2 linked regions of the Anolis sagrei genome follow. Each later gene encodes a partner of the first gene's protein in a complex. Links are inferred from orthologs where the notes say so. Each region holds a gene or a part of one and is shown on either strand. Other genes may lie near its edges.

What was found.
Region 2: the proteins of GRK1 (region 1) and RCVRN are in contact, whole or in part, in an NMR structure (PDB 2I94), measured with the Bos taurus proteins. The link is inferred for Anolis sagrei from reciprocal best matches to the Homo sapiens genes GRK1 and RCVRN. Residues at the interface, in NP_776598.1 of Bos taurus: Phe3, Gly4, Leu6, Glu7, Val9, Val10, Ala11, Asn12, Ser13, Ala14, Phe15, Ile16; in NP_776590.1 of Bos taurus: Lys22, Trp31, Ser34, Phe35, Glu38, Cys39, Phe49, Ile52, Tyr53, Lys55, Phe56, Phe57, Tyr86, Leu90, Thr93, Ser94, Phe188, Glu189.

What each region holds. Positions count from the first base shown.
Region 1 is NC_090026.1:5,172,542-5,185,215, reverse strand, and holds the start of GRK1 (rhodopsin kinase GRK1), read right to left. Parts: upstream 6,783-12,674; 5' UTR 6,572-6,782; intron 1-6,571. UniProt on the Homo sapiens protein: Retina-specific kinase involved in the signal turnoff via phosphorylation of rhodopsin (RHO), the G protein- coupled receptor that initiates the phototransduction cascade.
Region 2 is NC_090026.1:18,713,792-18,727,064, forward strand, and holds the start of RCVRN (recoverin), read left to right. Parts: upstream 1-7,987; 5' UTR 7,988-8,088; coding exon 8,089-8,469; intron 8,470-13,273. UniProt on the Homo sapiens protein: Acts as a calcium sensor and regulates phototransduction of cone and rod photoreceptor cells. Modulates light sensitivity of cone photoreceptor in dark and dim conditions.

The sequences.
Region 1 (12,674 bases):
GGTTTTATTGATGAGACGTGATGGATCTGTTATATTGATGTACTGATGTTTGGTGTCTAATTAATTGTTATGCCACCTTTTTTAAATGGTTAGTGATTTTCTATTTTGCATACTGAACTGTTGTTGTATTGTCGAAGGCTTTCATGGCTGGAATCACTAGGTTCTTGTGGGTTTTTTCGGGCTATAGGGCCATGTTCTAGAGGCATTTCTCCTGACGTTTCGCCTGCATCTATGGCAAGCATCCTCAGAGGTAGGATGCTTGCCATAGATGCAGGCGAAACGTCAGGAGAAATGCCTCTAGAACATGGTCATATAGCCCGAAAAAACCCACAAGAACCCAGTGAACTGTTGTTGTTAACCACTCTGTTAACCGCTCCAAGTTGCCTTAGGGCTGAGAGGAGCGGTATACAAATGAAGTAAATAAAATAATAATTATAATAATTATTATTATACAAAAACACAGTACGTCACAGCAAATGAGATCTCTATGCTGGATTTAGTATCACAAAATCACAAGTTGGAACACTTCCCAAGCATCTAGGACTGTGTGATGTATTTTTGAATGATGCGCGCAGATCCAAGTCAGGTGGCCTTTTGCAGTTGACAGATCGTGATTTTGTCTATGTTTATTGTTTCCAAATGCCAGCTGAGATCTTTTGGCACAGCACCCAGTGTACCGATGACCACTGGGACCACCTGGACTGGTTTATGCCAGCATACGATTAGAAGGGATCCCTTGAGGTCATCTACACCAACCCCTCTTGTCTTCCAGAAGTGGCCAGAAAGTCAGTGGAAAGCGGAGACATCAGTTGCACGCTTTGAGGTGCTTTGCAGTTCGATTTTGAGGTCCTGATAACGGTTGAGTTTTTCCTGTTGTTTTTCCTCACTTCGGCTGTCACCTGGAATGGTGACATCAATAATCCAAATTTTTCCTTTTCCACAATCGTGATGACTGGTGTATTGTGTTCCAAACCTTCGTCAGTCTGGATTCGAAAGTCCCACAGTATTTTTCCGTGTTTATTTTCCACTATCTTTGCGGGTTTATGATACCACCAATTCTGTACTGCTGGCAAGTGGTACTTGTGACATAAGTTCCAATGAATCATTTGGGCCACAGAGTTGTGCCTCTGTTTGTAGTCTGTCTCTCAAGATCCTGAACAGGACCGGGCCCAGGACGGAACCCTGCTGATGGTACTCCACTCCTCACTTCTTTCCAAGATGAAGGCAAAGCCTTGGTGAACACCCTCTGGTTTCGTTTACTTAACCAATTACAGATCCACCTAATTGTGGTTTTGCCAGGACCACAATCAAAGCACTCCTTATTATTATTTTCAGGTCAGGAGTGACTTGAGAAACTGCAAGTTGCTTCTGGTGTGAGAGAATTGGTCATCTCCAAGGATGTTGCCCAGGGGATGCCCGGATGTTTTGATATTTTACCATCCTTGTGGGAGGCTTCTCTCATGTCCCCGCATGGGGAGCTGGAGCTGACAGAGGGAGCTCATCCGCACTCTCCCTGGATTCAAACCTCTGACCTGTCAGTCTTCAATCTTGCCAGTACACGGGTTTAACCCACCATCGGGGGCTCCAATACTAACAACAACAACAATATCTCTTTGAGGAGGTTAAACCGCTGAGCTGCTGAACTTATTGTCTGAAAGGTTGGCAGTTCGAATCTGGGGAGTGGGGTGAGCTCCCGCTGTTAGGCCCAGCTTCTGCCAACCTAGCAGTTTGAAAGCATACAAATGTGAGTAGAGCAATAGGTACCACTGATAAAATCATGGCAGCCACATGATCTTGGAGGTTAAACTGCTGAGCTGCTGAACTTACTGTCTGAGAGGTTGGCGGTTCGAATCTGGGGTGGGGTGAGCTCCCGGTGTTAGGCCCAGCTTCTGCCAACCTAGCAGTTTGAAAGCATACAAATGTGAGTAAAGCAATGGGTACTGCTTATACTATCATGCCATCCACATAACCTTGGAGGCATCTATGGACAATGCCAGCTCTTCGGCTTAGGAAGCTGGAGCAGACAGAGGGAGCTCACCCGTGCTCTCCCTGGATTCGAACCTCTGACCTATCGGTCTTCAAGAGTTTAACCCATTGTGCCACTGGGGGCTCCTATCACTCCCAAAAGAGGAGACTCTACTGGACACTCTATCCTTTGCATGGACTTTTTCCAAACTAAGTGTCACCCATCCTATAGTTTCCAGGGCCAAGTGGGGTTTTGAACCCTGCAAGGAGAGTTGCATCCTCTTTTTTTCCCTCCCTTCTTTTTTCCAAAGCTTCCCAAATAGACAGGCTTGGACTCTAATTTCTCTCAAAGTTGGTGCAAAGAAGCAACATTTGGGTCTATTGCACTCTCAGAAAGCAAGGGTGACACTCTCTCAGCCTCCAAGGTAGGAAATTATTTTGGATGTGTGATGCTCCTTCTATATTGATCGCTGTGGTCAACTTATTTTCATGAAGTGATGAGCGGAGTGCCGCAGGGTTCCCCCCTGGGCCCGGTCCTGTTCAACATCTTTATTAATGACTTAGATGAAGGGTTAGAAGGCAGGATCATCAAGTTTGCAGACGACACCAAATTGGGAGGGATAGCCAATACTCCAGAGGACAGGAGCAGAATTCAAAACGATCTTGACAGATTAGAGAGATGATGGGCCAAAACTAACAAAATGAAGTTCAACAGTGACAAATGCAAGATACTCCACTTTGGCAGGAAAGACGAAATGCAAAGAGACAGAATGGGGGATGATGCCTGGCTCGAGAGCAGTACGTGTGAGAAAGATCTCGGAGTCCTCGTGGACAGGAAGTTAAACATGAGCCAACAATGTCATGTGGCGGCAAAAAAAGCCAATGGGATTTTGGCCTGCATCAATAGGAGCCTAGTGTCTAGATCTAGGGAAGTCATGCTCCCCATGCTCTATTCTGCTTTGGTTAGACCACACCTGGAATATTTTGTCCAATTCTGGGCACCACAATTCAAGAGAGATATTGACAAGCTGGAATGTGCCCACAGGAGGGCGACTAAAATGATCAAGGGTCTGGAGAACAAGCCCTATGAGGAGCGGCTTAAAGGGCTGGGCATGTTTAGCCTGAAGAAGAGAAGGCTGAGAGGAGATATGATAGCCATGTATAAATATGTGAGAGGAAGCCACAGGGAGGAGGGAGCAAGCTTGTTTTCTGCTTCCCTGGAGACTAGGACACGGAACAATGGCTTCAAACTACAAGAGAGGAGATTCCATCTGAACACGAGGAAGAACTTCCTGACTGTGAGAGCTGTTCAGCAGTGGAACTCTCTGCCCCGGAGTGTGGTGGAGGCTCCTTCTTTGGAAGCTTTTAAACAGAGGCTGGATGGCCATCTGTCAGGGGTGATTTGAATGCAAAATTCCTGCTTCTTGGCAGAATGGGGTTGGACTGGATGACCCATGAGTTCTCTTCCAACTCTTTGATTCTATGATTCTATGCTGGCAAAACATTACAGGTCCTGGTTTCTTCCATTGCTCAGAATAAAAATCACACCCTCATCCCTTTCAAGAAAGCGAACTTAATTTTATCCATTAATTCCCTATCAGCTTAAATACCGCACAGGGTGGCCTATATTGCATTAATCTCCTCCCTCCCTCCCTCCCTCCGCTGGCTCCTGGGGTCCTCAGGATACCTTAAATAAACCTTGAGGTGTATTTAAAACCACAAGCCCACAGGTACAGTTTAAAACACACTTTTTGAAATACCCCAAACTCTTAAGGAAGGAGCCAGTTGCATTATTTTCTCCATTGACACACACACACACACACACACACACACACAAGGGGTTGAAAGACAAGAGAAAGCCACCCTGTTCTGCGCTTTCCCAATTCTTCTCTTTCACGAGAATAATGAACATATATCAGTCATATTGCATAAATAATATTAATTAAATCATACCTCTAGGAGAGACTCCTTGAGGTCATCTAGACCAACCCCTCCTTTTTTACAAAAGTGGCCAGAAAGTCCATGGAAAGTGGAGACATCGGCTGCACACTTTGATGTGCTTCACCCAGTCTTTTCTACAACTCCCATTATTCCCACACCATGCATACTCTTAGAAGGGACCCCTTGAGGTCATCTAGACTAACCCCTCTTTTTTGCATAAGGGGCCAGAAAGTCCATGGAAAGTGGAGACATTTGCCGCACACTTTGATGTGCTTTGCCCAGTCTTTTCTACAACTCCCATCATTCCCACACCCAGCATACCATTAGAAGGGACCCCTTGAGGTCATCTAGACTAACCCCTCTTTTTTGCACAAGGGGCCAGAAAGTCCATGGAAAGCAGAGTCATTGGTTGCACACTTTGATGTGCTTTGTCCATTATTTTCTACAACTCCCATCATTCCCACTCCCAGCATACCATTAGAAGGGACCTCTTGAGGTCATCTAGACTAACCCCCTTTTTTGCACAAGGGGCCAGAAAGTCCATGGAAAGTGGAGACATCGGCTGCACACTTTGATGGGCTTTGCCCAGTCTTTTCTACAACTTCCATGATTCTCACACCATGCATACCCTTAGAAGGGACCCTTTGAGGTCATCTAGACTAACCCCTCTTTTTTGTACAAGGGGCCAGAAAGTCCATGGAAAGCAGTCATTGGTTGCACACTTGGATGCGCTTTGTCCATTATTTTCTACAACTCCCAGCATACCATTAGAAGGGACCCCTTGAAGTCATTTAGACTAACCCTTCTTTTTTGCACACGTGGCCAGAAAGTCCATGGAAAGTGGAGACATTGACTGCACACTTTGATGTGCTTCGCCCATTCTTTTCTACAACTCCCTTTCTTACACAAGTGGCCGGAAAGTCCGTGGAAAGCAGAGACATCAGCTGCATAGTTTGATGTACTTTGCCCAGTCTCTTCTACAACTCCCATCATTCCCACACCCAGCAAACCATTAGAAGGGACCCCTTGGGGTCATTTAGACCATCACCCTTTTTTGCACAAGTGGCCAGAAAGTCAGTGGAAAGCGGAGACATCAGCTGCATAGTTTGATGTGCTTTGCCCAGTCTTTTCTACAACTCCTATCAGTCCTACACCCAGCATACCATTAGAAGGGACTCCTTAAGGTCATCTAGACTAACCCCTCTTTTTTGCACAAGGGGCCAGAAAGTCAGTGGAAAGTGGAGACATAAGCTGCATGCTTTGAGATGCTTTGCCCAGTCTTTTCTACAACTTCCATCATTCCCACACCCAGCATATGATTAGAAGGGACCCCTTGAGGTCATCTAGACCAACCCCTCTTGTCTTGCACAAGGGGCCAGAAAGTCAGTGGAAAGCGGAGACATAAGCTGCACACTTTGAGGTGCTTTGCTCAGTCTTTTCTACAACTCCCATCATTACCATACACAGCACAACCATGGAGTTATAGATGATGGGACCTGCAGTCCTGCAAACACTCATATTTCCCTGGCACCTCTGAATATCCAAAGGCACCTCAAAACAACAACAACAATAATGTAAGCATAAAATACAAACACAGAAACCTTGACCATTGGGAGAAGGTGGTCAGAGAAAGTAACCAATTCCACTGCAATAATATTATATTTTCTCACTTTTTCACTCTACAATCTCGCTTTCCTTCAGTAATATGAGTAATAATGTTCCACTGTGTTGAAGATATTGCACTCAACTGTGTTTCATATCCAAATGCTCTCCATTTTCCCTCTCTTTCTGGACTTTGGGGCAAGAAGAAGCCACAATGGTACTAAGCTAGGTGGCTTATTCTTTCCAGGATTCCTAAGCCCTTGCGTGTGGGTTGCTAATTGGCTAATTTCCCATCTCTAACATGCTTTGCTATCACCCTCCATACTATTTGCAAGCACCACAAGGTCTTTGTCCTTGGTTTTTGAAACTTTTTTCCTTTCAAACAAAGAGGAGTTGTTATTATTATTATTATTATTATTATTATTATTATTATTATTATTATTATTATTATTTATACTCTGCTTTATCTCTCCTGCAGATGACTCAAAGGGTTTGCCTTGAACCAGACAGAAGGAGCCGTACTTGGCATAGACCATACCTAATAGCATTTAATCACCCCATGTATCAAACTTATCGCTCTCATGTTTACTTATAGATGTATCAATGCTCCGACTTGTGCCAAAAAGTCATGTGTCCCATCGCATTGTATACCACTTTTATTCCTTAGTCTCATCTTCAACGTTCCATGATGCACATTGAAAAACACTGAAAAGTTGCATGCCCAACCCATGCAACCCTTTGCTGTACTCCAATGCTCCCTTGTCTCCAAACTATCTCAAACTTTGATGCCCTAATTCCCCTTTGCCGTACTCCAATGCCCATTTCAAACCACAGAAAGTTCTCTCATTTCCAACCTACTACTTTAAACTCAACTTTGATGCCCTAATCCCAGTTTGCCAGACTCTGATGCCCATTTAAAACCATTTGGTTTGATTATGTATTCCATTGGCCGTATGTGGCCCATCCTTGGATTCACATTTGGCCTATCGATTTTCCCCATTCAACCAAAGTCAAACCCAACCATGTCTTGAAAGTGCGCCCAAATAAAATAGGAATCACTTACCGACTCAGATGTCAAAGAAAGGGGAAATTTGGCTCTGTTTGGGGTGCTCTCTTATGGCACCCCACCATTCAGGGTTTGGCAAGCGCCCGGCATCAAGTGTCAGGCTGCATCCGGGGAGAGAGCGACCAGTGATGGGATTTAGCAAAAGGGGGGTGGCACTGGACTTCAGCAATCCTTGGAGGCTAAGATTAGCTGCCCCACTGAAGCAAAGACTGGCATGGAAATGGACACGGAGGGAGGGAGGGAGGGTGGCCACGCAGCAGAACCTGTCAAAGGTGATTAAGGAAATCCGTCTGGCTTCGTCAAAGAGTCAAAGGGCAGTTGGAACCCGGCAGGCTGTGCGGAAATGTTCCCAAACACAGCCCTATGGGGTTGGTTGAAGGGGTGAGGAGGCCTCGGGGCTGGCTGACCCCTCTCTCTCCCAGGCCAGGAGTTTGGAAAATGTTTTCCTTGGGCCCAACCTAGAACCATAGAACTGTAAAGTTGGAAGAAACCCCAAAGGACATTCATTCCAACCCATAAGATAGATAGATAGATAGATAGATAGATAGATAGATAGATAGATAGTTCGATAGTTCGATAGATAGATCATAGTTGGAAGAGACCCTAAAGGACATTCAGTCCAACCCATAAGAAAGAAAGAGAGAGAGAGAGGATAGATCGTAGTTGGAAGAGGCCCCAAAGGACATTCATTCCAACCCATAAAATAGATAGATAGATAGATAGATAGATGATAGATAGATAGATAGATAGATAGATAGATAGATCATAGTTGGAAGAGACCCTAAAGGACATTCAGTCCAACCCATAAGAAAGAGAGAGAGAGAGAGAGAGAGAGGATAGATCGTAGTTGGAAGAGGCCCCAAAGGACATTAATTCCAACCCATAAAATAGATAGATAAATAGATAGATAGATCATAGTTGGAAGAGACCCTAATAGACATTCAGTTCAACCCATAAGGAAGAAAGAAAGAAAGAAAGAAAGAAAGAAAGGATAGATCGCAGTTGGAAGAGGCCCCAAAGGACATTCATTCCAACCCATAAGAAAAATAGATAGATAGATAGATAGATAGATGAACTGTAGATTTGCAAGAGACCCTAAAGTTCATCCAGTCTAACCCCTGACAGACAAACACAGATAGTGGAATGATGGAAGAGACATCCAGTCCAACCATTAAGATAGATAGATAGATAGATAGATAGATAGATAGATAGATAGATAGATAGGATAAGTGAATCGTGAAGTTGGAATAAACCCCAGAGAACATCCAGTCCAACTCATAAGATAGATGATAGATAGATAGATAGATAGATAGATAGATAGATAGATAGATAGATACTAGATAGATAGATAGATGAATCCTAGAGTTGGAAGAGACCCTAAAGAACATCCAGCTCTGAGTTGAGGTTGGACTGGATGACCTTTGGGGTTTTCATTTCAACTATGTATATCAGGCATGGTCAAACTTTGGCCTTTCAGGTGTTTTGGACTTCAACTCACACAATTCCTAACAGCTGGTAGGTTGCATTAGCCTGGTGTAGATGATACACACTCCATCCAACGGACCTGTGAGTAGCATCTATATAGTCCACCATCCCCACCTCTGTCCACCAGGGGGTGCTTGGACACCTTGCAATGGCTTCCCTAAAGCTGCCCTTGGCCCAAGCCATCATGGTTTGGGATGCTGAGCGCGGAAAAGGGACTGGAGGACGCATTTATTTGGCCTGGGCATCGGGCCCAGCCTGGAACCCTTCCAAGGACAAACACTCATCCTTCACAAAGGCAGATGGGCAACCTGGGAGCCTCGGCCTGGGGCCTGTAAGGTGCCTTCCACCAAGGACTCTCTTTTGGAGAGAAGCAAGAAGAACTGGGGGAATTATTAGGGGTGCATCTATACTGTAAAACAGGGTCCTCAAACTACAGCCTGCGGGCCATATCTGGCCCACCAAGGTTGTTTACCCGGCCCTAAACTTTAGATTTGCCGTTACCACCAGACTGTGAACAGACTGTGACTTGAAGGCACAACAACAACAAACAATAGTCCAACTCCCAACAGTCTGAGGGACTGTTGTGAACTGGGATTTGGAGTATAGGAAATGATGTGCTTAGAAGAGACTGAGCAGAGGACACCTTCTGACCCCAATTCCTTCCCCAAAGACTTTTAACCTTTGGGGTTAGTGGTTGCCGAGTTGGACTGTATTTATTTTGGAGTTTATTTAACCTGGGGAACTCTTGGGATGGTCAACCAATCGGGGCTTGTGGATGCTATAGTCCAAAAACATTTGGAAGGCCCATGAGTCCTTTGAGCAGGCATGGACAAACTTTGGCTCTCCAGGTATTCTGGATTTCAACTTTCACAATTGTGGGAGTTTAGGTTCAAAACACCTTGAGGGCTGAAGTTTGCCCATGCTCCCCTTAAAGGTAAATGAAGCAATCTCTGAAGCGATGGCAGAGATCTTCCTGATCCGAAACATTTGGGGCCAGGAGTGTTTTGCATTTCGGAATCCCTTTATTTGCATGAACTTACATATTGAGATCTCTTGGAGGCGGAACCCAAGTCCAAACACGATGTGCATTTGTGTTTCCCAGACATGTTGCACACCTCACCTGAAGGGAATCTTCATTAATTTTGCAGGTGATACAAAGTTTGTGGACACTGAGCCATTGGGAAGCAAAGGTGCCACTCTCTCAGCCACCCAGCAGGACTGGTTGGGATTTTGGAGTATTTCTGTTAAAGGAGACTCAACCTGTTTACCTGGAAGTATAGTCTATTCTATTCTGTAGACATCTAAGTGAGGTTAGGCTCAAGGTATTTTTGGGAAGCAGGTCAGAGGTAGCAAACCGGCACTAATTAACAAATTACTAATTAACTGGAGGCGGCGACATCCTGTGACGTTCCCTACAGACGTCAACCTGAATTCTGAAAGGGCTTATCATTGCCTGATAAACCATTGGGGATCGTTTTTGGTGATGGGGAATGCATCCGCACTGTAGGGTGAATGCAATCTGCATGCCTCGATGCTATGGGATCCTAGGAGTTCTGGTTTGACAAGGCTTTCCGCCTTCTCTGCCAAAGAGGGTCAATGCCTCACACAACTACAAATCCCATGATTCCATAGCATTCAAGCCAGGGACTACTCAAGTGGGGGTCACACTGCTTTCATGTACCAGCTTAGGTCCCATCTACACTGTTATATAATGCAGTTTAAACTTATATGAGTCTAATGGAGGCATGGCCAAACTTCCTCCCCCCAGCTGTTTTGGACTTCAACTCCCACAATTCCTAACAGCTAGTAGGCTGTTAGGGGTTATGGGAGTTAAAGTCCAATACACCTGGAGGGCCAAAGTTTGCGTATATGTTGGAATAAGACTCTGGAAACCTGGGTTCAAATCTCTCCTTGGCCACAGAAATGCATTGGTTGACTCTAGACGAGTTTCCCTCTCAGCCTCCGAGGAAGGCCAGGCAAATCTCCTTAAAAGAAATCTTGCCAAGAAAAATAAATGATGGGTTGCCTGTGAATCAGAAGGAACTTGGAGCCTCACAGTAGAAACCAATAGATAGGTGATAAATATATATATTGGGGGGGAGGGGATCATAGGGATAGATAGATAAATAGACAGATCAGAGGGATAGATAGATAGATAGATAGATAGATAGATAGATAGATAGGTCAGATAGATAGATAGATAGATACAGATAGATAGATAGATAGATAGATAGATAGATAGGTCAGATAGAGTGAGAGATCATAGAGATAGATTGATCGATCATAGGAATAGATTGATCGCTCTTAGGGATAGAGAGATCGTGAGATCGTAAGGATAGATGGATACAGAGAGAGAGATCAGAGAGATATCATAGGGATAGGTAAATAGATTGATTGATCAATCATAGGAATAGGTAGAAATATAGATAGCATATATGGATGGATGGATGGATGGATGGATGGATGGATGGATGGATGGATGGATGGATTGGTGGATGGATGGATGGATGGATGGATGGATGGATGGATGGATGGATGGATAGATAGATAGATAGATAGATAGATAGATAGATAGACAGGCAGGCAGGCAGGCAGATAGGTGTAATCTATATAAATAAAAATGTAATGTTCGTTTGTGGGATTAACAGAACTAAAAAACCACTGGATGAATTGACACAAAATTTGGACATAATACAATGACTAACCCAAAGAGTGACCATCACTCAAAAAAACAGATTTCATCATTTCGGAGTTGTAGTTGCTGGGATTTATAGTTAACCTATAATCAAAGAGTATTCTGAATTCCACCAACAATGGAATTGAACCAAACGTGACACACAGAACTCCCATGACTAACAGAAAACTCTAGAAGGGGTTGGTGGGCATTGACCTTGAGTTTGGGAGTTGTAGTTCACCTACCTCCAGAGAGCACTGTGGACTCAAGCAATGATGGATCTGGACCAAACTTGGCACGGATACTCCATATGTCCAAATATGAACACAGATGGAGTTTGGGGGAAATAGACCTTGACATTTGGGAGTTGTAGTTACTGAGATTTATGGTTCACCTACAATCAAAGAGCATTCTGAACTCAACCAATGACAGAATTGTGGCAAACTTCTCACACAGAACCCCCATGACCAACAGAAAATACTTAAGGCCATCCAGTCCAACTCCCTTCATCAGTGCAAGAAAACGGCATCAAAGCCCTCCTGACAAAGAGCCATCCAGCCATAGATAGAGATAGATAAGATTCACACACAGAGAGATAGACTATCATAGATTTGAAAGGGACCCCCTAAAGGAGGACAATGATATGTTGCCTGTTCCAGAGTAGGCAAACCAGACAATCTCCACATCAACACTGACAAAGAAACAGCAAGAAATATGGTTTACCCACAAGCATAAAGACATTACATATATTAGAAACCAACACTTTCTCATTACTTTATTTTCCAGATCTGGGCCACAGCAATGCCTGGCAGGGGACCGCTAGTCATAGGAATGGATAGAAAGATCAGAGAGAGAGAGAAAGAGAAAGAGAGAGAGAGAGAGAGAGAGAGAGAGAGAGAGAGAGATCATAGGGATAGATATAGATAGATAGATAGATAGATAGATAGATAGATAGATAGATAGATAGATAGATAGATAGATAGACAGACAGACATCATCATAGGGATGGATAGAAAGATCAGAGAGAGAGAGAGAGAGAGAGAGATCATAGGGATAGATAGAGATAGATAGATAGATAGATAGATAGATAGATAGACAGACAGACAGACAGACAGACATCATCATAGCGATGGATAGAAAGATCAGAGAGAGAGAGAGAGAGAGAGATCATTGAGATAGGTAGATTGATTGATCAATCGATCAACTGATAGGCAGGCAGGCAGACAGCTGATGAGGAGCCAGTGTGGTGTTATGATTTGATTGTTGGACTAAAATTCTGTGAGACCAGGGTTCAAATCCTTGAAAACCCACAGGGAAACCTTAGGCAAGTCACACTTTCTCGGCCTCCGAGGAGAGCAAAGAGGCCAAAACAACACTATTGCAATCTGACCCTGAAAGCCATTTCTGAGATGCTCTCCTTTCGTTTACTCTTTGACCGCTGGCCTTTTGGCTCCCTTTCCGGCTCCCAGACACGTTCGACTTTGATCCAAGCAGCTCCCTTCTCTCGGGATCTTCTTCATCCTTTCGGAAATGTTGCAACATCCACGCACTTATGGGGGCCGGAGTTGTTTGCTTTGGCTGGGGCCTGGAGGGAGAAGACGCAAAGAAGGATCAGGTGGAGAGGAAGTGAGAATGCTCTTCCAGGACCAGAAATATATATTTGTGTGTGTGTTTGGTGTTGATAACATATCTACATCTATATATGTTTTGCAGATGCTCCATTATTGTGTGATAGGCAAAGCTGCAGCAGGCTCTTATCAGACATGAAAAGAGGCAGAAGCAACTTCCAAAAGAAGTAAATGGTATTGTATATTATTGGCTGCTTTTGCATTCCCGGAATCGCTTTGGATGCCCCTTTTCTTGGGATGCCTAAATTGTATTTATCCAAAATTCAGTTCAAAGGATGGAATTCACTTACTTAAGGAGAATCCGGGGAGCAGA
Region 2 (13,273 bases), about 14 Mb from region 1:
TCTAATTCCAAGCTTTTCCAATTAAAGTCAGACAGAAAGTGCTGAGAATAATCTCTGTGCCTGAGACTTTGCCAAGGAAGGCAGATTTGAAAAGCAATCTGAGTGGGTATAAGGCACGTCAAGCGTGTACTTTATGTGTTTATGTGAGAATCTGTGTGAATGTGAGCGGGTGATAATTTGTGTTTGTGCATGAAATGTATGTTTGCAACTGAAGGAGCGAGATGATACATCTACACGGTAGAATGAAAGCAGTTTGACACCTTACTTACTTACTTACTTACTTACTTAAACGATCCCTCGTAGCCCGAGGATGATGGTCCTCCAAGTGTAGTGTCTTGGCGGTGAGTCCATAGGTGGCTGTGGAGCCCTATTCTTGATCAGCATGTTTTCCTGCATTGAGGACATCGGTTGCCAGGTGGAAGGCGGTCCTAGTCAGGGTTGGCTTGATGTGCCTTCCTCTTGGCACGTTTCTACCTCCATTCGTGCCTCTTCAAAATCTGCAGCACTGCTGGTCACAGCTGAGCTCCAGTTGGAGCACTCAAGGGCCAGGGCTTCCCAGTTCTCGGTGTCTATGCCACAGTTTTTAACATTGGCTTTAAACCCATCTTGAAATCTCTTTTCCTGTCCACCAACATTAAGTTTCCCTTTCTTGAGTTGGGAGTCTAGTGGCTGCTTTGAGAGATGGTGATCAGCATTCGGACAACATGGCCAGTTGTCTCCATTCGTGCCTCTTCGAAAGCTGTGAGAGCTGTTCAGCAGTGGAACTCTCTGCCCTGGAGTGTGGTAGAGGCTCCTTCTTTGGAAGCTTTTAAAGTGGAGTTGATGGCACAGGAGCCTCACTTGTGGTCTTTGCTTCTTCCAGCACGCCGACATTTGTCCGCCTCTCTTCCCAAGAGATTTGCATGAGATGTATGTTTGCAATTATGTATGTTTTTGCAGATTTATGTTTGCAATTATATATGTTTGTGCATGAGATGGATGTTTGCAATTGTGTATGTTTGGCCATGAAATGCATGTTTGCAGTTATGTATGTTTGTGCATGAGATGTATGTTGGTAATTATGCATGTTTGACCATGAGATGTATGTTTGCAATTATGTATGTTTGTGCATGAGATGTATGTTTGCAGTTATGTATGTTTGTGCATGAGATGTATGTTTTCAATTATGTATGTTTGACCATGAGATGTATGTTTGCAGTTATGTATGTTTGTGCATGAGATGTATGTTTGCAATTATGTATTGTTTATCCATGAGATGTATGTTTGCAATTATATATGCTTGGGCAAGAGGTATTTATTTATTTATTTATTTAAAACATTTATATTCTGCCCTTCTTACCCCAAAGGGGACTCAGAGCAGAGCACAGCATATATACGGTAAACATTCAGTGCTGGGACAAGAATTCATATACGCGTACATAAACATTAAAAACATTTATCTCAATATTAAAATACACCATTTAAAACTGTCCTGGTCATCAGCGTCAAATCTAACTGGCCTGGTAATCTTTCCTATTGCTGCTTTATTGCCTTGTCCCGAAAGCTTGGTCTTACAGCCAAGTTTTTACCATCCTTCTGAAGGACAGGAGGGAGGGGGCCGATCTGATCTCACCAGGAAGGGAGTTCCACAGCTGAGGGGCATTCACTGAGAAGGCCCTGTGTCTCGTCCCTGCCAATTGCACCTGTGACAATGGCGGGATGGAAAGCAGAGCCTTCCCAGAGGATCTTAATCTCCACGATGTTTCATAGGGGGAGATACGTTCAGACAGGTAAATTGGGCCGGGGCCATTTAGGGCTTTGAATTGTGCCCGGTAGCAAACTGGTAGCCCGTGGAGCTGGCGTAACATGGGAGATGTATGTTTGCGATTGAAGGAGAGAGATAATGCATCTACACGGTAGAATGAAAGAGGTTTGGCACCATTTTAACTGCCAGGGCTCAAGGATATGGAATCCTGGAAGTTCTAGTCTTGCAATCCCTTTAGCCTATTCTGCCAAAGAGTGCTGATGCCTTTCCAAACTACAAGTCTCAGGATTCCCATAGCCTTGAGTCAGAGCAGTTCAAGTGTTGCCAAACTGCATTCATTCTGCTATGTAGATGCACCCTTGGAAGCAAAGGATCCAACATCCAAGAATATGTTATCATGGGTTGCGGGTTGCATTGAGCTGTGGTAATGAACGTGTGGTAATGAAACTGCACTCATTCTGCAGTCTAGATGCATCCAGATAGAGCAGGCCTGGGCAAACTTGGGCCCTCCAGGTGTTTTGGACTTCAACTCCCACAATTCCTAACAGCCTCAGGCCCTTTCCTTTTCTCCCTCAGCCGCTTAAGAGATCAGGTCAGGAATTGGTGTCTTTGTTCCTTTTCATGTGTTTTGCTTAATCCGAAACACAGGAAGAGATATGATATATATGAGTACTTCTCCTTATCTAGAATCAGAGTTCCTTTTTCTCCTTCTCAACTCACAACAAAGCCACAAGCGTTTGGATAGGTGTCAGGGTGCTTCCTTTTGCTTGTTTGTTTTGACCATTTGTGCCACAAGTGAGAGGGAGCTTATAAAGTGGGACATATGCGGCCACAAAAAAACTAATGGGATTTTGGCCTGCATCAATAGGAGTCTAGTGTCTAGATCCAGGGAAGTCATGCGACCCCTCTTTTCTGCCTTGGTCAGACCACACCTGGAATACTGTGTCCAACTCTGGGCACCCCAGCTGAAGAGAGATATTGACAAGCTGGAATGTGTCCAGAGGACAGCGACTAAAATGATCAAGGGTCTGGAGAACAAGCCCTATGAGGAGCAGCTTAAAGAGCTGGGTATGTTTAGCCTGAAGAAGAGCAGGCTGAGAGGAGACATGATGGAACATGTGGAACAATGGCTTCAAACTACAAGAAAGGAGATTCCATCTGAACATGAGGAAGAATTTCCTAGCTGTGAGAGCTGTTCAGCAGTGGAACTCTCTGCCCCGGAGTGTAGTAGAGGCTCCTTCTTTGGAAGCTTTTAAACAGAGGCTGGATGGCCATCTGTTGGGGTAGCTTTGAATGCAATTTTCCTGCTTCTTGGAAGGGGGTTGGACTGGATGGCCCATGAGGTCTCTTCCAACTCTATGATTCTATGTTTCTATATCACTCCGGCTTCCCTGTTGTGTTGGACTACAACTCTCAACATCCCCGACCAGGATGGCATCAGGTTGGGGAAGAGAGGGACCTTCCACGCAGGATACTTTTGCCACCTACCTGAACACATGGAGTCGAGGTGCAGCGGTGATCCCTCCCCTCCACAAACATACACACCAACTGAATCCTGACACTAATGCTTTTGACACTAATGCTGCTTTACGAACAGATCTGGATGGACAAAGCGGATTGAGCATATGGCCAAGGGCAGCAAGGGACAGTCAAATTAGCGGTGGCCCAATGCAATTAGCTACCAGTAGGTGAACCTACGTAAGAGCCTCAGAGAGATAGTGCTACCTATGGGTTAGAGCAGAGGAGGCTGGGAACTCAGATACCGGGGTCTTTTGAGGAGGCGAATTTGATCTAAAGAGATGGAGAAATCAATGAAAGCCAGTCTGAGACAAGGCTTTGGTTTGCAGTCTTTAATGATATCTACTAGAGAAAGCTGATGCCTCACCAAACTACAGTTGCTATGATTCCATAGTATTGAACCACGGCAGTTGAAGTGGTTTAAAACTGCATTAATTCCACAATGTAGATGCATCCCTAGGCAGGTAAAAGGAAACGCTACCCAGGATTATCACTGGTCAACACGCATTTTGGTGTCTCAAATATTAGCCCAGTTTGTGTGTATCTTACCTGCTGATTCCAAAAATGGCACCTGTTTCTCCCCATCAGCTCTAATTCTTGAGATACAGAACATATAGTGGCACAATGTAAAATAAACAACATGTAGTTCACATTTGATCAGCCCACACACTGCCTTGCCAGACAAAGAAAATATGCCCACACAGATGAACACTAAAGAACAAGTAGTTTACTCTTCGTAAATTTAGAACAACAAATGTACAATGTGATCAGTTGCATCAACTCACATAATGTCCTTTTATGAGAGATTTAAAAATTGTATTTCTTTGGCCGTATGGATAAAATCTTTCTGCAGCCCATAAAGCGAGAGCGCACTCCAAACTCTATCTCTCCTTGCTTCTCTCTGAGCACTTGCATAGCTCAAGCCTGAACAAAAATGTAACAGTAACCAAAAGTCCCAGGCTCAGCCTGCTCCCCAGGCATTGTCCGACCAATCAGCTTAATGAATCTTATTTTACAGTTGACACACACACAGTGACTGATTCCTTGCATGCTCCAACACATATGACCTATTCCTATCATCATCTACTTGTCCATAGAAAATCATGATAACCATATCTAGGAAACTAAAGCTGTTGTGGTCTATTTAATTGAATTTTCTGAATCAGAGCCCCAAATAATCCAAGGAACAGGCCTAAAAAACCAACAGTTCGCTTTTGCCTGAGTCTATATTCTCACCGCCTCTGCTGAGTTGCAAACTACTTTGACGAGATGAACTTAAGTTTGCATCAATTAAACTAGCAGAGGATGAAGGTGGAAATTAGGAAGAACAAAAAGATTTTTTGTTGTTTATTCATTCAGTCGCTTTTGACTCTTCCTGACCGCATGGACCAGCCCATGGCAGAGCTCCCTGTCGGCCATGGCTACCCACAGTTCCTTCAAGGTCAAGCCAGTCACTTCAAGGATACCATCCATCCATCTTGCCTTTGGTCAGCCCCTCTTCCTTTTCTCTTCCCTTTTCCCCAGCATCACTCTCTTCTCCAAGCTTTCCTGTGTTCTCATTATGTGGCCAAAGTATTTCATCTTTGCCTCCAACATCCTTCCCTCCAGTGAGCAGCCAGGCATTATTTCCTGGAGTATGCTGTGTTCTGCATACCAGTTGAATAGGTTGGGTGAGTACCCTGCCATACTCCTTTCCCAATCTTGAACCAGTCTGTTGTTCCATGGTCAGTTCTTACTGTTGCTACTTGGTCATTATACAGATTCCTCAGGAGACAGACAAGGTGGCTTAGTATCCCCATACCACCAAGAATTTGCCACAATTTATTATGATCCACATAGTGAAAGGCTTTAGAATAGTAAATAAAACATAAATAGATGTCTTTCTCCATTATCCAGCGGATGTTGGCAATTTGATCTCTCATTCCCCTGCCTTTTCTAAACCCAGCTTGTACATCTGGCAACTCTCGCTCCATATATTGCTGGAGTCTGCCTTGCAGGATCTTGAACATTACCTTACTACAATCGTTTTCAACCTTCCTAATGCTGTGACTCCTTAATACAGTTCCTCATGTTGTGGTGACTCACAACCATACAATTATTTTCATTGCTACTTCATAACTTTAACTTTGCTACTGTTATGAATCGTAATGTAAATATCTGATATGCAGCATGTATTTTCATTCACTGGACCAAATTTGGCACAAATATCCAATACGCCCAAATTTGAATACTGGTGGGGTTGGGGGGCATTGATTTTGTCATTTGGGAGTTGTAGTTGCTGTGATTTATAGTTCACCTACAATCAAAGAGCATTCTGAACTCAACCAGCAATGGAATTGAACCAAACTTGGCACACAGAACTCCCATGACCAACAAAAAATACTGGAAGGGTTTGGTGGGCATTGACCTTGAGTTTTGGAGTTGTAGTTCATCTACATCCAGAGAGCACTGCGGACTCAAACAATGATGGATTTGGACCAAACTTGGCACAAATACTCAATATGCCCAAATGTGAACACTGTTGGAGTTTGGGGAAAATAGACCTTGACATTTGGGAGCTGTTGTTGCTGGGATTTATACTTAACCTACAATCAAAGAGCATTCTGAACCCCACCAGCAATATAATTGGCCCAAATTTCCCACTCAGAACCCCCATGACCAACAGAAAATACTGTGCTTTCTGATGGTTTTTGGTGACCCCTCTGACACCCTGAAAAAAGTGAAGAAAACAGAGTAGCTGAAAAAAGTGAGACAACAGAGGACGCATCATGACTGCCAAATTGGGGCAGTTGGGAGGTATGGCAGCCATGCCCATTAACAAAATTGAAGTATTATAACTGTGAAAGGGCCCTCAGAATTGGATTCAGCTCATAATTCTGAGTAAGCATGCACAGGATTTCACTGTTAAAGCACAATACCACACGCACCCACTGTAATCAGGAGAAGAAAGAGAGCCAGCCAGATGGCGTTTTTTTTTTTTTTCATAATCTCAGATTAAATCCACCTTCTTGTTATGATCCCTTCTTTATATGTTTTTAATTATATGTAAAAGCAATCTTTCTTTTCTCCTTATTGCAAGACTTGGACGGTGCTGAACAGACTGCGCTCTGGCACCACGAAATGCAGAGCCAGCCTTAAGGAATGGGGCTACAAAGTGGAGTCTGCAACATGTGGAGGAGAGCAAACCAAGAACCACTTACTACAATGCACTTTGAGCCTTGCCACATGCACAATAGAGGACCTTCTTACAGTGACACCATAGGCACTCAAAGTGTCCAGCTTCTGGTCAAAGGAAATTTAGTATAATGTTAAGTTTTTAACTTTGTTTGTGGTTTTTCTATACATTATAACTCAATTTGCTTCTGACACGATAAATAAATAAAATGGCAAGACTTCCAATTCAGGCCTAAATTTGGAGCAAGTATGTACAGTGTTGCACATCTCACCTTCCCATTGCCATTACTAGGGAAAAAAGGATGAGCCAGTGAGATGAGAATATTTACAAGCTCAGGTTAAACCCACCTGCTCCCATTTGCAGTTCCTTCCTTACTACGCTCACGGATGCAATGGGAGGAGTCTCTCTTGTCTTTTCCATATAAGGATACCTTCTTTGAATAATTAATGATATGCATCCAATGTATTTAAGGCAAAGGAGCACAAAGGCAGAGGCAAACTTTCCATGTGAGCATTGAACGCACATGGCTTCTAAGGAAGGAAGTTTCTTGATTTTATGAGGCATGGACCACCACAAGTAGTATCTGAGAAGCAGAATCCATATGCTGATTATTGTTTAGGTCAGGCATGGGCAAACTTTGGTCCTCCAGATGTTTTGGACTTCAACTCGCTTAAGCGGCTGGGGGGGGGGGGGAAGGAAGGGTCCTGAGGCTGTTGGGAATTGTGGGAGTTGACGTCCAAAACATCTGGAGGGCCAAAGTTTGCCCATGCCTGGTTTAGGTCCTCTTGTGATGAAGTAGGGTTGTAGTTGTTTAGTTTCACTTAGCCAAACCCTTTGAATCAGTTGTTGACTGGCAGAAGGTCTAAATCCTATTGTTTCCAATAAAGGTTACTTTCAGGTATCGTTACATAGTACTGCAACTTTTCGTCTCTCCTATGACACTTGGTGGCACTTGGAAAAGTAGTTGATTTTGGCTATTTTGTCATGATCTGCATGTCTTATCAGCTTTTTTCATGTGGTTGTTTATTACCAGAAGTGCTATTAATCTACAGGGTGCTTTTCTGCTTAAGGTAGACCAATTCCTGGGGTCAGAGAGCAATAGCTTTAGCTTCCACTGTGTTGCCATCTGTCCACTCGTCTCTACATATGCCATCTCCTCATAGGGTGATCGGCATGTTTTCATTCTTTTCAATAGATATTTTGCTCTCCCCACCCACTCACCCCTTGCCCAGCCACTTTGAGGGCTGGCACATGTTGAGGAACCGTGCCCAACGTTAAGGGAAGAGAGGCCAGGAGGGCAACAAGGAAGGAGGGAGCGAGGAAGGCCCGCAAAGCCCAAATCCGATTTCCCTGGCGTTAAAGAGCTTGGAGCAAATGTGATCAGCGCAACCTAAAATAGCCCCCTCTCTCAATCTCTCTCCCTTTGTGTGTACAATATGTGTGTGCACACATGCAGACTCATCATGGCCACCAGGTGTAGCAAAGTGAGGACTCCAGGGTCCCGACTCCACCCACATCCATCCCAGGGAGTCTATATAAGAAGGTGACCTGGGCACAAGGCCTTCCACTGGCTAGGTTGAAACAAGGCAGGAAGGACAAGCCAGGAACTGTTGGTGAAGCGGCGTGGGGTGCGTGAGCATACACCCAAACCATGGGCAATAGCAAGAGCGGAGCTCTGTCCAAAGAGATCCTGGAAGATCTGAAGCTGAACACCAAGTATTCGGAAGACGAGCTGTGCAAATGGTATGAGAGCTTCCAGAAGCAGTGTCCTGATGGGCGCATCAGCCGGGCTGAGTTTGAAAAGATCTACGGCAACTTCTTCCCCAACTCTGATCCCAAGGTCTATGCCCGGCATGTCTTCCGAAGCTTTGACACCAACGACGATGGGACCCTAGACTTCCGGGAGTACATCATTGCACTCCATCTCACCTCCACCGGCAAGACCAACCTCAAGCTGGAATGGGCTTTCTCACTCTTTGATGTGGATCGCAATGGAGAGATCAGCAAACATGAGGTTCTTGAGATCGTTGCAGTAAGTGAAGGGGATGTGTGGGGCGGTGAGAGGGACAGGGAGCCATGGGGAAAGGGTCACGGGAAAGATCCAAGTTGAGAGCTTCCCCACAACAGTGTGCTGTGGATTAAATTACATTTATGAGGCTAACTGTTGTGGATCTTTTGCACAGGACTGTTTGGAGGATACTTACTTACTTACGCGATCCCTCGTAGCCTGAGGATGATGGTCCTCCAAGTCTGGTGTCTTGGCGGATAACTCACTGAAGAAGCCACTGAACTGTTGAGTTGTTTAATGTTTTTCTCTGGGTAGTAGTTGATTTGGGGTGCATATCCCTTTACATCAGGTCTTCTTACAGCTGGAATGGCAATATATTCAACCCAAGTCCATTTCAGTAGATGGAAACCAGTGAAAGTGGCTAGCTCATATCCAGATCTCTCAAAGAGACATATAGTCCCATTCATGGAGCTGCATCACAAGCTTGCTTATGCTTGAAGCAAATTCAGTCCTACCAACCATTGTTCATTCTCCTATGGGACAGAAAATTATAATCCTCTTGGTTAGTCTTAACTAGAGTGTCTTACTCTACAGGTAAATCCCATTGACAATAGGTTACCAACTATAGTCACATGTTGGAGCCATACTTATTAAAGGGGAAGGACGGAAGGGGCAAGAACTGGACACGTGACTCCCCCTCAGTCCACCTGGACGTGATGGGATGACAAGGGATTACCTTGGTCAAAGGCTTTGTCTTTTGCCCAATGGAATTAGCCTTGGCCTATGGGGGGGAAATCCTGTTACGTCTATTTAACGAGATGAACGGGATTGACAGAGCAGTAAACAGCTCTAAATCCATGGCTAATTATATCTCACTGGCCTCAACTGTCCCCAGCAAGAAGCAAATGCCCATGTTTTATGCAGGATAGGTATTGCTATCTTTCTGAAAGAGTATATTCTAAAAGATCCAAATCTGTACGGCTCTATGCTACTAATTTAAACTGGTTTGAAACCACACTCAAAGATACTTGGAAATTCTAATATTGTATGAGCTTTTTAACAATATTTAAAGAGTCACATGGGCATACTTCATAGTCTATCATTACTTAGGACTTGAAACGATTGGTTCAGTTTACATGGCCTATTTGACAACACACCTTCATTGACAAAATTTAGGCTGTTGCTATTCCAAATGCTCTGAAATTCCTTCCCAGGAAGACTTGATATATCCAACAGTGACTCAAAACATGGAAAAGGACAGCATTCGGTTGGAAGGTGTCTTCGGTAGCCACATAAACTTGGCCTTACTTGCCTCTTTGTGGATTTAACAGAGCTCTGTGTACATGTCCAAAAAATCCTTGCCGTTGCTGACCTTCCTCCACTTTTCTAGCTTCTAGACTCTTTCCCCCTCCCCATGTAAGAGAAGATAGAGCAATCTGAGATTAAAGTTGGATTAGGTGGGATTAAATCCCTGACCCACTCCGTGCAATATTCGCCTTGCTTCAACTGTATCTTCAGGGGAATAACTTCCTCTTCTCTGACCTTGAAAAGATGGGATCATAAACAGACCATTCCCACGTAGGCCAAGATTCTGCACCGATAGTGCAGTTAAAGTGGGATCAGAGTGCCGTAATTGTGTAGTAGAGAACGTGAAAGAAGTCTCCTTTTGCAACCAGAGGTAGTAAATTGTTTTTGGTATTGAGGGTGAATTTATCTTTAGTCTGAGTGAAGCAATTGCAGGAGATGAGTGCCACGAAAGAGCAGTTGTTTACTACTTCTTATGTGAGTTTATTTATCTGCAGGGTGAGAGGATCTTGTGGGATTTTCTGCTTCAGGGCCCAAAAAGTATAGCTTAGCTATTCCTGTAAAATGAAACAAGAGGATGATTGGAAACTTAGGGAGGTACATTGAGGAATCACAGCCAGTGTCTCACCAAAATATAAGTTTTCGAGTATGATGAAACCATGGAAGCTAAAGTGGAATAACGCACATGTGCACACGCACATGCGCACACACATGTAACTGCAGGACTGATGCTGCAGTTTCGTTTATCCATGTCCAATATCTTAGCTTTTCCTGTAAAATGAAACAAGGGGATGATTGGGAACTTAGGGAGGTTCACAGCTAGTGTCTCACCAAAATACACGTTTTTGGGTATGATGGAACCATGGAAGCTAAAGTGGAATAATGTTATAATTATGTACATTAAGACACAGACACACACCTGTAACCATGTCCAACAAAATAGGTCCTCTCTAGGTATTTTCTAGGTCCTCCAGCACAACTTAATTGTACTCTTGGGCCAGAAGTCCTTCATTTCAATGGGATTCGCTATTACCTGCAGTTTCGCCTGTCCACACAAAGTCTGGGAATGTATTCCCCGCAGATACAGGGTTGATACTGTTGTGTGAATAGGTTCTCGCTACACTAGGCATGGGCAAACTTCAGCCCTTCAGATGTTTTGGACTTCAATTCCCACAATTCCTAACAGCCTCAGGCCCCTTCCTTTTCCCCCTCAGCCGCTTAAGCGGCTGAGGGGGAAAAGGAAAGGGCCTGAGGCTGTTAGGAATCGTGGGAGTTGAAGTCCAAAACAGCTGGAGGACCAAAGTTTGCTCACGCTTGCTTGACACAAAACTGGGAAGCGCTCACTTTTTAAATCCAAATTGGGCAATAAAAATCTGCTCAGGATTGTGGACTACCTGTTTTAAAATACCACGTTCCTATTGATACACATCAGAGATGGTTCCTTGGGCCTTTAAGGAAAGGATTATTATGTACAACCAGTGGTGACAGCATTAGACCTGGGTTAATCCCTTAGGTTTAGCATTGGTCTCCGTGTGTGACTTAAGCTTTGATGCACCGAAAACCGGAGAAAGGTCCTGTACCTTTAATGGGGTTTCTGAAAGCTGGCATCCAACAATACATGGGAATTAGTGTTTCTCTAGTCCGCGAATGTTTGTGCCACAATATACTATTTGTTTTCAAATTGTCACCAAACTCTTCTGTTGTGCCTGTCGCAACTGAGCACCTTGGCATTGCCCATCAGCAGCAGAGCAAAGGGTTTTTGGAAGCAATTGGCACACCAAAAGCAAAAGATGGGGAAAGAACACAAGGTTTTACACCAGGCATAGGCAAACTTCAGCCCTCCAGGTGTTTTGGACTTCAACTCCCACAATTCCTAACAGCCTACCGGCTGTTAGGAATTGTGGGAGTTGAAGTCCAAAACACCTGGAGGGCCGAAGTTTGCCCAGTTTTGAGCCTTAACAAAACAAGGCAAATTCTTCCACAGATTTTCAAACTCTGCATAGTGACAAGTTTGTGTGTCAGCTTCAGTGTGTAGGTGTGTCACTCGAAGATAATTAGAGATCTCTGAGTCTATGTGAAATATATTATCGAAGGCTTTCATGGCCGGAATCACTGGGTTGCTGTAAGTTTTTCGGGCTGTATGGCCATGTTCCAGAAGCATTCTCTCCTGAGGAGAGAATGCTTCTGGAACATGGCCATACAGCCCGAAAAACTTACAGCAGCCCTATTGTGAAATAAGCAATACATTAAAGATTTTCCAAACTATCAATGAAAGTTTTCATGAGATAAGTTGTGTCCCCATACATTTCATTATTACCATTTATAAGGGGCTGGTTTATCTTCCAGTTTGCTAGTAAAACTGAATTACTGTGTCGCGAAATGACGCGTATCTGAAAACATTAAATGTATGGAAATCTTTGCACTAGAGAAGCTTGTTTTGGTTAAGGACAACTTATAGGAGATTCAAATGCGCCCGACATACTACTAAGTTGATATATCCCGCATTTCAGCCGACCAAAATAGGAGCTCCCAGTGGCGCAATGGGTTGAACCCTTGTGCCGGTAGGACTGAAGACTGATGGGTCAGAGATTCCAATCCGGGGAGATCACGGATGAGCTCCCTCTGTCAGCTCCAGCTCCCCATGTGGGGACATGAGAGAAGCCTCCCACAAGGATGGTAAAACATCAAACATCTGGGCGTCCCCCGGGCAACGTCCTTGCAGACAGCCAATTCTCTCACACCAGAAGCGACTTGCAGTTTCTCAAGTCGCTCCTGACACACACGAAAAAAGCCGAATAAAATCCCTTCGACACAGCACACCAAATCACACTTCCCTGTTTAATAACATTGTGCTGTTCAGTACGAGGAAACCTATAAGGTAAGTCAGTAATAATTCCATTAAAAAATAATTCACAACTGCTCAGTGTTGTACATTGATTTAACATTCGTGCCTGTATTCGATACTCAACGTGTTATCCATTGAATCCTATTATATGGTACTTTCTGCAGATGGGATCTTTATGTGCAAAACAATTTGCCCTGTATGTTTATATATCAAATATATACTTTGTCTCCTTGTTTTGCCTACGAGTGGGGAAATATTGTGAATTGTATGTGTGATGCTGAACTGCTGGATGTCCCCCTTCAGCAAGATTTCAGCACATTTCCAATTGCTCTATTAAAAAGGCATAAAGACCTGGAATTCAGTATAGGATTTGTGTTTGCGGGAAACAGAATTGAGCAGTTTCCTAGTGTTTCAATTCAGCAATAAGATGGTATCACATTATTACATAGATCCCCCTGTGGTGCAGTGAGTTAAACCCTTGTGCTGGCAGGGCTGAAGACTGACAGGTCGGAGATTTGAATCCGGGGAGAGTGCGGATGAGCTCCCTCTGTCAGCTCCAGCTCCCCATGCAGGGACATGAGAGAAGCCTCCCACAAGGATGGTAAAACATCAAAACATCTGGGCGTCCTGTGGGCAATGTCCTTGCAGATGGCCAATTCTCTCACACCAGAAGCAACT